2 linked regions of the Saccharomyces cerevisiae S288C genome follow. The main gene of each other region encodes a partner of the protein of the gene in region 2 in a complex. Each region holds a gene or a part of one and is shown on either strand. Other genes may lie near its edges. A codon is read from its position in the direction of its gene.

Evidence for each region. Proteins that work in one complex are often made in the same cells at the same time.
Region 1: the proteins of SCC2 (region 2) and SCC4 are in contact, whole or in part, in a crystal structure (PDB 4XDN), measured with the Saccharomyces cerevisiae proteins. Residues at the interface, in NP_010466.3 of Saccharomyces cerevisiae: Met1 (codon at 1,644), Tyr3 (codon at 1,650), Pro4 (codon at 1,653), Gly5 (codon at 1,656), Lys6 (codon at 1,659), Lys8 (codon at 1,665), Ile10 (codon at 1,671), Pro11 (codon at 1,674), Gly12 (codon at 1,677), Arg13 (codon at 1,680), Ile14 (codon at 1,683), Ile15 (codon at 1,686), Glu16 (codon at 1,689), Ala17 (codon at 1,692), Leu18 (codon at 1,695), Glu19 (codon at 1,698), Asp20 (codon at 1,701), Leu21 (codon at 1,704), Pro22 (codon at 1,707), Leu23 (codon at 1,710), Ser24 (codon at 1,713), Tyr25 (codon at 1,716), Leu26 (codon at 1,719), Val27 (codon at 1,722), Pro28 (codon at 1,725), Lys29 (codon at 1,728), Asp30 (codon at 1,731), Gly31 (codon at 1,734), Leu32 (codon at 1,737), Ala33 (codon at 1,740); in NP_011074.3 of Saccharomyces cerevisiae: Gly5 (codon at 1,858), Asp6 (codon at 1,861), Lys7 (codon at 1,864), Leu8 (codon at 1,867), Ser9 (codon at 1,870), Ile10 (codon at 1,873), Ser11 (codon at 1,876), Val13 (codon at 1,882), Tyr14 (codon at 1,885), Leu16 (codon at 1,891), Glu19 (codon at 1,900), Tyr20 (codon at 1,903), His23 (codon at 1,912), Ile27 (codon at 1,924), Ala28 (codon at 1,927), Asn29 (codon at 1,930), Lys30 (codon at 1,933), Ile31 (codon at 1,936), Gly32 (codon at 1,939), Ser33 (codon at 1,942), Glu34 (codon at 1,945), Gly36 (codon at 1,951), Leu37 (codon at 1,954), Lys38 (codon at 1,957), Gln39 (codon at 1,960), Tyr41 (codon at 1,966), Gly42 (codon at 1,969), Leu43 (codon at 1,972), Met44 (codon at 1,975), Asn45 (codon at 1,978).

What each region holds. Positions count from the first base shown.
Region 1 is NC_001137.3:462,241-466,687, reverse strand, and holds SCC4 (cohesin-loading factor complex subunit SCC4), read left to right. Parts: upstream 1-1,845; coding exon 1,846-3,720; downstream 3,721-4,447. Other genes in the region: PEA2 (Pea2p), read left to right, coding at 1-480; SPT15 (TATA-binding protein), read right to left, coding at 663-1,385; RNA-binding protein LSM5, read right to left, coding at 3,822-4,103; YER145C-A (uncharacterized protein), read left to right, coding at 3,865-4,302. UniProt on the Saccharomyces cerevisiae protein: Involved in sister chromatid cohesion. Forms a complex with SCC2, which is required for the association of the cohesin complex with chromosomes. Binds to the nucleosome-free promoter regions of ribosomal protein genes and tRNA genes.
Region 2 is NC_001136.10:819,652-826,276, forward strand, and holds SCC2 (cohesin-loading factor complex subunit SCC2), read left to right. Parts: upstream 1-1,643; coding exon 1,644-6,125; downstream 6,126-6,625. Other genes in the region: NVJ3 (Nvj3p), read left to right, coding at 1-1,173; SAS4 (Sas4p), read right to left, coding at 6,259-6,625. UniProt on the Saccharomyces cerevisiae protein: Plays a structural role in chromatin and is involved in sister chromatid cohesion. Forms a complex with SCC4 required for the stable association of the cohesin complex with chromatin, which may act by hydrolyzing ATP from SMC1 and SMC3 heads.

The DNA of each region.
Region 1 (4,447 bases), on a different chromosome or scaffold from region 2:
TTGACTAAGCAATTCGAGAATGACCGTGCCGAATATGTACAAGATATCGAGAAGCTAACGCGGACTAACAGAGAATTACAAGATAAGTTATTAAACAACCACTCGAATTTGAGTAAAACTGAAAAGAAATTACACGAATTGGAGCAGGAAAATAAAGAACTTGAAAAAGCCAACAACAAGCTGAATTCAAGCAGACATAATTTCGGCATGTCATCACCAGCGAGTTCGCCGGTGACTTGGGATCCAAGTTCACCTTCCTCTGTAGGAAGCCCCACAAGCGGTTCTGGATCACGTTCACTTTCAATAATGACAAGTGAGTTTAAAAAAGTGCTTACGAGTACACAAAGAAAGTATGAAAAAGAATTGTCGGATGAGCGTGAACATAGATTCAAGCTGGAAAGGGAGCTTGCTTTGCTGAAAAATGCAGAGGCAAACACCTCGCTGGCGCTTAATAGAGACGATCCACCAGATATGCTATGAATAAACATCTTATTATAAAACATTGATATATAAATATAGAATAAGAAGAATATACTATAAAAAACCGTTTGATATTACAATTACTTCTTCTTCCTTTTCTTTTATTTCTTTGAGGACCATTAATAATTGAGAAAATGGAACAAATAGAAAACCTTTTTTTCTTTTCGTCTACTCCTTCCCCATCACATTTTTCTAAATTCACTTAGCACAGGGTATATAGCTTCAAAAGCTTGGTAAATTTCTTCCCTTTGCTTTGCACCAGTAAGAACAATCTTTCCTGAAACAAAAATTAACAACACAATTTTCGGCTTCACCATTCTATAGATCAAACCAGGAAACAATTCTGGCTCATAGGAGGAGAAAGTACCATGACTGAATGCTAACCCTTCTAGACGTATAGGGAATTTAACGTCACACGAACCGACAATATTTTGTATTTTGAAGTCTGTGAATTTAGCAGCAAACCCGATTTTTTGGATAATTCTTGCATATTTTCTACTGGCCAGCTTTGAGTCATCCTCACTTTTTGCACCGGTAACAACCATTTTCCCTGAGGCAAAAATTAAAGCTGTAGTTTTTGGCTCTCTAATACGCATGATGACAGCAGCAAAACGCTTGGGGTTATATTCTGCATTACGGGCATGTAGCGCAACTGTTTTCAGATCTAACCTGCACCCCAAAGTCACAGTTGCCACAATGTTTTGTAGTGTTGGAACAATACCTGATGTGGCGGAGGTGTCTTTTTCAGATTCTGGGGCAGCTCTTTTTATGTCCTCTTCACTCTGGAAAGTAGTTGCTGGTTTTGTACCATCTCGATTCTGGTTTTCCCATACTTGTCTGGTATTTGGATCAAACACTATCTTGTTTGCCTCTTTAAACTCCTTTAAACGTTCCTCATCGGCCATAATTAAAAAAGTTTCTCTTGATACACCTGTTTATGTTGGACTAGAAAAGAAAAATAAAATGCAGCCTTTACTTCCTTGCTTCTTCCGCAGAGCAGTCTAACTAGTAGTCGTTTTATTTCTTATGTGTTATCTTTCCCCCGATCTTATAGTCCAAAAAAAACAGTAACTACTGTAATTTTCACGTCCCTTGTTTACTCTTACCATCAAGAATACCTATCAAGGTAAAAAAAGTCATTAGTAATCCTTTGAAGCCATGTTTTATATGTAGATCTTCAAATTTTTTTCTTTTCCCAAAAAGCTCGCGTAAGAGAAACTTGGAAGATAACTATTTACGGCTTCACAATTAAAATACGTAAAGAGATGAGTTAGATCTATCAGCAAAGGGAATCCCGACATCTCAGCTATCAGAGGGGAATCAGTATTGGTAGAAATTGAACGATTTCGAAAGAAGTACAAATTCATGGAAAATCTTGGCGACAAACTTAGTATTTCACAAGTATACCACTTAGCACAGGAATACAGAGACCATGCATATTCAATTGCGAATAAAATCGGTTCTGAGGAAGGGTTGAAGCAGTATTATGGCCTCATGAACATGTCTATCCAGATGTTTCAGCTATTGAAAACGAAATGTACGCTTTCAGTTCTGGAGGATAGTAAGGTCACGTTTGAGATGGTGGAGTTATTGATACAGGAGACGTATAATTTTGACCTAGCAGAGCTTTACATTTCCAGTTTGAAAGAACGGTTACAAACGCACCAGAGCGACACAGATTTGGTAGAAGAGATCATGCGTTGCGAGTTTCTGCTGTTACATGACTTGCCACTTATGAGAGACAGTAAGTTCCACTATAAGATTGCACTAAGAAATTGCAATGAATTAGTCCAGTACATGGTAAATTTGCAGGATGAGTTGTATCAAAATTGGGCATCCGTATTCCAGTATGTCGGCGTGATGCTTTGCATTAAGCTGAAACAGCACCGCAGGGTGAAGACGAGTTTTCATGGGCTACTCTCGCAATGTCGGGAAAAGTCACAATGGAAATGGTTTCTAAATCTGTGTTATGTGAATTACTTGCTAAATGAGAGGTTCCCAATCCCCGAGGATGCTCTGCAGGAGCTGCGAAGCACGGAGCTGCACACGGTGGGGCCTGAGCTATATGCATGGAAGTTGGCATTAGAGATGGTAATCCAGCTTTGTAAAGACGGGAATATTACGGACCACTTGAACGAATTCAAAAATTTCTTTGACACAAACAAGCAATCTCTAGTCACTAATGAAGGTAAGGGATGTGTGATCAAAATCATGCCAAGGATAGCGCTGAAAGTAGAGTTGCCTATGATTTTCCACTACAAAGAATTAAAGAACATACTGTTATTATTGCAAAGTGTCAGCTACATCGTGAACTGTTATGACGAAAAGGGCAATTTTTCCAGGAAGTTCCTCCCCAAAGTCTATTCTACAACGCAGAAACTGATTAAGAACATTGCCGCTGGCGGTGTTTCGATGAATGAGCTGGACTCACGAATCCAGACATACAAGAGCATTCTTGAATTCTGTGAGTTTTACAAAGTGTGGGAACAAACACTCTTGAAGGGGGCCGTAGTGACGACCGAGTCACCTAAGTTAGGGCCCTCTCCAGGCTACGTGAGGCTGCTGCAAGCCATGAAGGTTCAGTTTGAAGGCGGCGGGGCCGTAGAAGAGTACACGCGGCTTGCACAATCTGGCGGTACATCCAGCGAGGTGAAGATGATATCGCTTCTGAATTGCTACACAGTGCAGGCGGCAAGAGTGAGCCGATGTTCGGGGGACAAACAGGGCGAACTCGTAGAGCAATGCAACAAGGTGTGGCTTCAGGTGGAGAAATTGCTACAAGAAACGGATCTGCAGTTCAACCCCATATGGGAGTGCACAGTAACGATCCTATGGCTTTTCAGCCATTTCGAGCCGTTCAGTTGGAACCCGCTGCCATGTAGTGACAAGCAGCGCGCCGAGTACGTGTCGAAGCTCCGCGAGTTCTACTCTAGCAACAAGTTCGTTGCCGGAGAAGCCGTTGCGGACAACCGCTTCAAATTGAAGAAGGCTCTGTTGCTGCAAATACTGGTAAACTACTTAGGCGGTCGAATGCTCGAACACGATCTGGGCGAGATCTATGCGATTTCAGCAAAGTGTTTCGATATGTGCCGCCAGCAGGGCGGCATGCGCAAGGTCCAATACGTGATCGGAATATGGCATTTAATGAATTGTACGGTGGCGATGCGGGGAAAAGACGTCGCTCTCACGAACGCGAAGCTGGAGGCGCTGGTTAAGCAAATCACCAGTGTCAAACAATAAACCAAAAAAAAAAAAAGAAACACTTGATTTCCTTTATCTATTTTTATACTTAATTATTTTTTTTAGATGCACTATACAAATTCGCGTTAATTTTTGCCTTTTTACAACGCCTCCGTAGGGGTCTTTTTGCCGCCTGGCACAAGGATGGCAATATTGTTGCCGCTTAAAAGCATTCTGCCATGGTGCTGCATAACTTTCTCATTTCTGCTCTCGTCCTCAGGATCGATAAGCCACTCGACAGCGTCTTCCAGTATAACGTTGACGAAGTCGTCGAAACCAACTAACGTGCCCTCGAACTCGCGGTTCGACTGCAGCACAATCAACACTTTCTGGTTAATTGTTTTATCTATGACTTCCAAAGGCAAAATCTCCGGTAGACTCATTTTGCGCGCTTCTGTGTATGCTTGTGAGTGCACGTGTATACGCTATGCTTGTTGTGAGACCATCTATCCGCCAAGGAAGCCTTTTTCGCTTTCTCTGTATTTTTTCTACTTCAATAAGAAAGCAAGTATTCTGTTTTGCTACCCGGATGCAAAGACAAAACCCGAGCATCCGGGTAATAAAAGAGCAGGGTCCGGCTGAAGGTGCCAAAAAAGACCAAAAAGGGCTATATTATCTCTCTCTTACGATTGCCTCTGGTTAAAAAATGAAATAGATAATAAAAGGGCAGCAAAGAAAAAAAAGAAGAATACAATATACGTATACGTTCTCAACAATTTTTCGTCCT
Region 2 (6,625 bases):
CTAAGGGATTTATGTTTCTCTATATACCCAAATTCATTACATCAGAAAATCAGAAGCATAGAAGCTTTGCCAGACCTACAGGTAAATACCTTTATTGCCTTAATTTTCCAAAATTTCGTTAAGTCTTGGTATGGTATCAAAATACCCACTGATGATTCCAAGTTTTTAACCGAACTATATAACTTAGTTCAAGATTTAATAACATATTTGAAGAGTTCCAAAATCAATTACCATGCCCTTTTACTCGATTATATTCCCTGCTTGCTTTCGTCTCACTTGAAAGCATTAAATGACTCATCTCAAAATAACGATTTAGTTTATGAACAGTACTGTAAGCTAACTTTGTATGATTCGAAACGATATCCAATGCTATTCACTGAAATCATACAAAGTAAAATGAGCACCAAATCTCTACTACAGAGAAGCTTTTTGGATAGCTTTTTAAATGAACTTGTGTTCGGGCATATTTTTAATTCAATAGCGGAACCATATTATCTTCTGGAGGGCTTGAATAAAATTTGCATAAGAATAAAGCTAAATTCTGCAGGAAATACCAGAAACGAGGTGACTCATGGAAAGCCTAAATGCGATCCCTGGTTGTTTGTTTCCAATGTAAAGCACAAAATATTGCAAATGACCAGGCTTTTAGCTTATTCAACTTCAACAGAAGCAGCAAATATGAACACTGCCGAAATTCAAGAAACAGCATTTCTACAAAGATATATTTTTACTTTTTTCACCGATGATTTTTTCAAATTATCTATGAGGAAGCCATTCCTATTCTCAATATGCAGAACGCTTCAGCATTGGATCTCTAAATTAAATGCGTTAAACAGGGTCATGTATAGAACATTTGACAATATTGTTCAAACTAAAATTACCAGCCCTGTGACAATTGGCAACTTATTCTCATTATTACGACATTCTTTGTTTCCTAATGACAATATGATGGGGCCACCAAGAGTATTACCAGTGGGTGATGCTTTTCTAGAGTTCAGAGAAGAGTGTATTTCCAATTTATGGGATGTTTGTATGACTTATAAACTTGATCATATCCTCGCTATCAAAAGGTCTGACATAGCGGATCTTATTATCTGCATATCGAAGAATAGGGATTGCAATAAACTGCTAATTTATAGAATTATTGACTGTGTTATTGCGCAGTTGCCGTAGACTTCGTGATGTATAGAGTATTGTTGACAAATATTTGATGTTACCGAAATAGCACTCTTTGTAGCATTATTACCAATTTTTATACTATGAAGTAAGGTCTTAGGAAGCAAGAACATTGTTAACAAATAGCTTTTATGACCTAATCATTAGCACTATTCATTGCCAAATATGCAAATATCTATTCCTTTTGCCCGAACAGGTAAAAGTGGTATTGCTTTTATGTTAAACGCGAAACTGCCGCCACTTCGCTTAAAAAAAACACTGGCTGAAAAAGAACGATGCAGTTTAGTAACTAAAGTTTTTTCTAGCTCAGGCTTAGAGTTCGATAACAACAAGTCACATTCGAGTGCTCCACTTATAGCAATTTTTCTTTTGTGTATTGGTTTGCTCCTGTGTGCTCAGGCTTTTCGTTTGTTGTGAGAGTATTGTTCTTATAACTATTCATTTTTTGAAAGAATTGGCGGCTAGCAATGTCGTACCCAGGGAAAGACAAGAATATTCCTGGAAGAATAATAGAGGCCCTAGAAGACCTGCCTTTGAGTTATCTGGTTCCTAAGGATGGGTTAGCCGCGCTAGTAAATGCCCCAATGCGGGTTTCTTTACCTTTTGACAAGACTATCTTTACCAGCGCTGATGATGGCAGAGATGTTAATATAAATGTTCTAGGTACAGCTAACAGCACTACTTCTTCCATAAAGAATGAGGCCGAAAAAGAAAGGCTTGTTTTCAAAAGACCCAGTAATTTTACGTCATCAGCCAATTCTGTTGATTATGTCCCAACTAACTTTTTGGAAGGATTATCACCGCTAGCGCAGAGTGTTCTATCAACCCATAAAGGGTTGAATGATTCCATTAACATCGAGAAAAAAAGTGAAATAGTAAGCAGACCGGAGGCAAAGCATAAGCTCGAAAGTGTGACTTCGAATGCTGGTAACTTGAGTTTCAACGACAATTCTTCCAACAAGAAAACCAAAACTTCAACAGGTGTAACCATGACACAAGCGAATTTAGCGGAACAATATTTGAATGATCTTAAAAATATTTTAGATATTGTTGGATTTGACCAAAACTCTGCTGAAATTGGAAATATCGAGTACTGGCTCCAGTTGCCAAATAAAAAATTCGTTTTAACTACAAACTGCTTAACCAAATTACAAATGACAATTAAAAATATTACCGATAACCCACAGCTATCGAACTCAATCGAAATAACATGGCTTTTGAGATTGCTTGATGTGATGGTTTGTAATATAAAGTTCAGTAAAAGCTCTTTAAAGATGGGTTTAGATGATTCTATGTTACGATATATTGCTTTGCTTTCTACAATTGTACTATTCAATATTTTTTTACTGGGTAAGAATGACAGCAACTTACATCGGGAATCATACATCATGGAACCGGTGAATTTTTTAAGCGACTTGATAGAATCTCTAAAAATATTAACAATTGAATATGGTTCTTTGAAGATAGAATTTGACACTTTCCAGGAGGCCCTAGAATTGCTACCGAAATACATACGTAACGGCCCTTTTCTGGATGATAATGTCACGGCAAAGCTTGTGTACATCTTTAGCGACTTGCTGATGAATAATGACATTGAAGCAACTACGAATATCCAATTTCAAAGTTTTTGGGATAATGTGAAGAGAATCAGCTCTGATATTTTAGTTTCATTATTCGGTAGTTTTGATCAACAGAGAGGATTTATTATAGAAGAACTACTATCTCATATCGAAAAGCTTCCCACTAAGAGAATACAAAAAAAACTAAGAAAAGTTGGTAACCAAAACATTTATATCACTGATTTTACCTTTACTTTAATGTCAATGTTAGAGAATATTAATTGCTACTCCTTCTGTAATCAGATGAAGGATATTGCACCAGAGAATATTGATCTATTAAAGAACGAATACAAAAAGCAAGAAGAATTTCTTTTTAACATTGTTGAGCATATAAATGACACAATACTGGAAAGGTTTTTCAAGAACCCGTCCGCTTTAAGGTATGTAATTGACAACTTTGTCCAAGATCTATTATTGCTAATTTCCTCCCCTCAGTGGCCTGTAACAGAAAAAATACTAAGCTCTTTGTTAAAGAGACTTCTAAGTGTATACAGCCCATCCATGCAAGTTTCTGCAAACATTGAAACAATATGTTTACAACTTATAGGGAATATTGGTTCTACAATTTTTGATATTAAATGCTCAACTAGAGACCATGAAGATAACAACTTGATTAAAATGATTAATTACCCCGAAACTTTGCCGCATTTTTTTAAATCATTTGAAGAATGCATTGCATATAATGAAACGATCAAATGCCGTCGTTCTGCAACAAGATTCCTTTGGAATTTAAGGCTCGGTACGATCTTGATATTAGAAGAGTATACAAAGGATGCCAAAGAACAAATTATAACCGTTGACAATGAATTGAAAAAAATATTGGAGCAGATAAAAGATGGTGGACTTGGACCCGAATTAGAGAACAGAGAAGCAGATTTTAGTACGATTAAATTGGATTATTTTTCTATTTTGCACGCCTTTGAACTACTGAATCTATACGATCCATACTTGAAGTTGATATTATCACTTCTAGCCAAGGATAAAATCAAACTGAGATCGACTGCTATTAAATGTCTCTCGATGTTGGCTTCAAAAGACAAAGTGATACTTTCAAACCCAATGGTTAAAGAAACTATTCACCGGCGTTTAAACGACTCATCTGCATCTGTCAAGGATGCCATTCTAGATTTGGTCAGTATTAATTCTTCATACTTCGAATTTTATCAACAAATTAACAACAACTATAACGATGATAGCATAATGGTAAGAAAACATGTGTTAAGAATTAATGAAAAAATGTACGACGAGACGAACGACATCGTCACGAAGGTATACGTAATAGCAAGAATCCTAATGAAAATAGAAGACGAGGAGGACAATATAATTGATATGGCTAGGCTGATTTTATTAAATAGATGGATATTAAAGGTACATGAAGTATTGGACCAGCCCGAAAAGTTGAAAGAAATTTCTTCTTCAGTCCTACTAGTAATGTCCCGTGTGGCTATAATGAATGAGAAATGCTCCCAACTTTTCGACTTGTTTCTCAACTTTTATCTCCTAAACAAAGAAGCGCATTCAAAAGAAGCATACGATAAAATCACTCACGTTCTAACCATTCTTACCGACTTTTTGGTACAAAAAATTGTCGAGCTCAACTCAGATGACACAAATGAAAAGAATTCGATTGTTGATAAACAAAATTTTTTAAACCTTTTGGCGAAGTTTGCTGATTCTACTGTGTCATTTTTGACTAAAGACCACATTACAGCATTGTATCCTTATATGGTATCGGACGAAAAATCTGACTTCCACTATTATATCTTGCAAGTCTTTAGATGCACTTTTGAAAAATTGGCCAACTTTAAACAGAAATTTTTGTATGACTTAGAGACGACCCTTTTGAGTAGGCTACCAAAGATGAATGTAAGAGAGATAGATGAAGCTATGCCTCTTATCTGGTCTGTTGCCACTCATCGTCATGATACTGCTAGAGTAGCTAAAGCATGTTCATCCTGTCTTTCCCATTTACATCCATATATAAATAAGGCAAATAACGAGGAAGCTGCCATTGTAGTTGACGGAAAATTGCAAAGGCTGATATATTTATCCACCGGTTTTGCCAGGTTCTGCTTTCCTAAACCCTCCAATGATAAAATTGCATTTTTACAAGAAGGTGAAACCCTGTATGAACATATTACCAAATGCCTACTTGTACTATCTAAAGACAAAATTACACACGTAATAAGAAGGGTTGCTGTGAAAAATCTCACTAAATTATGTGGAAATCATCCAAAACTATTCAATTCAAGACACGTTCTACATTTACTGGACAAAGAATTTCAGAGCGATCAGCTAGATATTAAACTAGTAATTCTAGAAAGTTTATATGATCTTTTTCTACTGGAAGAAAGGAAGTCAGTGAGAAACACTGGCGTTAATAGCACTTTGTCTTCGAACTCCATTTTGAAAAAGAAATTACTGAAAACGAATAGGGTAGAGTTTGCAAATGATGGAGTATGTTCAGCGTTGGCTACTAGATTTTTAGACAATATTCTCCAACTATGTCTCCTACGTGATCTAAAGAATTCTCTCGTAGCTATTCGATTATTAAAGTTGATTTTGAAATTTGGTTACACAAATCCCTCTCATTCAATTCCAACTGTAATTGCTTTATTTGCCTCTACTAGCCAGTATATTCGTCATGTCGCCTATGAGTTGTTAGAAGATCTTTTTGAGAAATACGAAACGCTAGTATTCAGTAGTTTATCTCGAGGGGTTACAAAAGCTATACATTATTCTATTCATACAGATGAGAAGTATTATTACAAGCACGATCATTTTTTGTCTTTACTTGAAAAATTATGTGGAACTGGAAAAAAAAATGGCCCAAAGTTCTTTAAAGTTCTGAAGAGAATCATGCAATCCTATTTAGATGATATCACCGATTTAACATCAACAAATAGTAGTGTTCAAAAGTCCATTTTCGTTCTCTGCACTAACATTTCGAATATCACATTTGTTTCTCAGTACGATTTGGTGTCCCTACTCAAAACCATTGATTTAACTACAGATAGATTAAAAGAGGTTATCATGGATGAAATAGGTGACAATGTTTCATCGCTATCCGTATCAGAAGAAAAGCTCAGTGGAATAATTTTAATACAGTTAAGCTTACAGGATTTGGGTACTTATCTACTGCACTTATACGGGTTAAGGGATGATGTGCTTTTATTAGATATTGTAGAAGAATCAGAATTGAAGAACAAACAACTCCCTGCAAAGAAGCCGGATATCAGTAAGTTTTCCGCACAGTTGGAGAATATTGAACAGTATTCATCAAATGGCAAGCTTCTTACATATTTTAGAAAACACGTGAAGGATACGTAAATATATTGCACTTAAAATATACATAGTATTAATAATCATTTTGCATTTTCCATGCTGATTTTTCACGCAGGTTTTGAGAAGCAACTATGAAATATTGAATTTCATTTACACCATCGCATTATATTAGTTCAAACTAAACCTTTTTTTTCTTGCGGACAGGCAAAATATTAATACCTGAGTTAGTTTTCATTCCATTGTGTGTTTTTACAAAGGTCTTTTCGTTACAAGAGGGCACTATTGCTAAGTTTGGGTTGATATTGTTAATAATAGCACCCACATTCTCAGAAGACCTTTGTGAAATCTGAGATGCAGTGCAAGATGAAATTGAACCTAAAGGTGCCTTCTCTGAAAGAGTTGGACTTATAGATGCAGCATTGTTCCTTAAGGCATTCATTTCTTTTGATTTGACAGTCTCTGTCACAGATATTTCCTCCGCTTTAACATTCAGTTTCATAGACTTTTGTGTATCTTGCCTTATATCCCGAATGACTTCTGGTTCC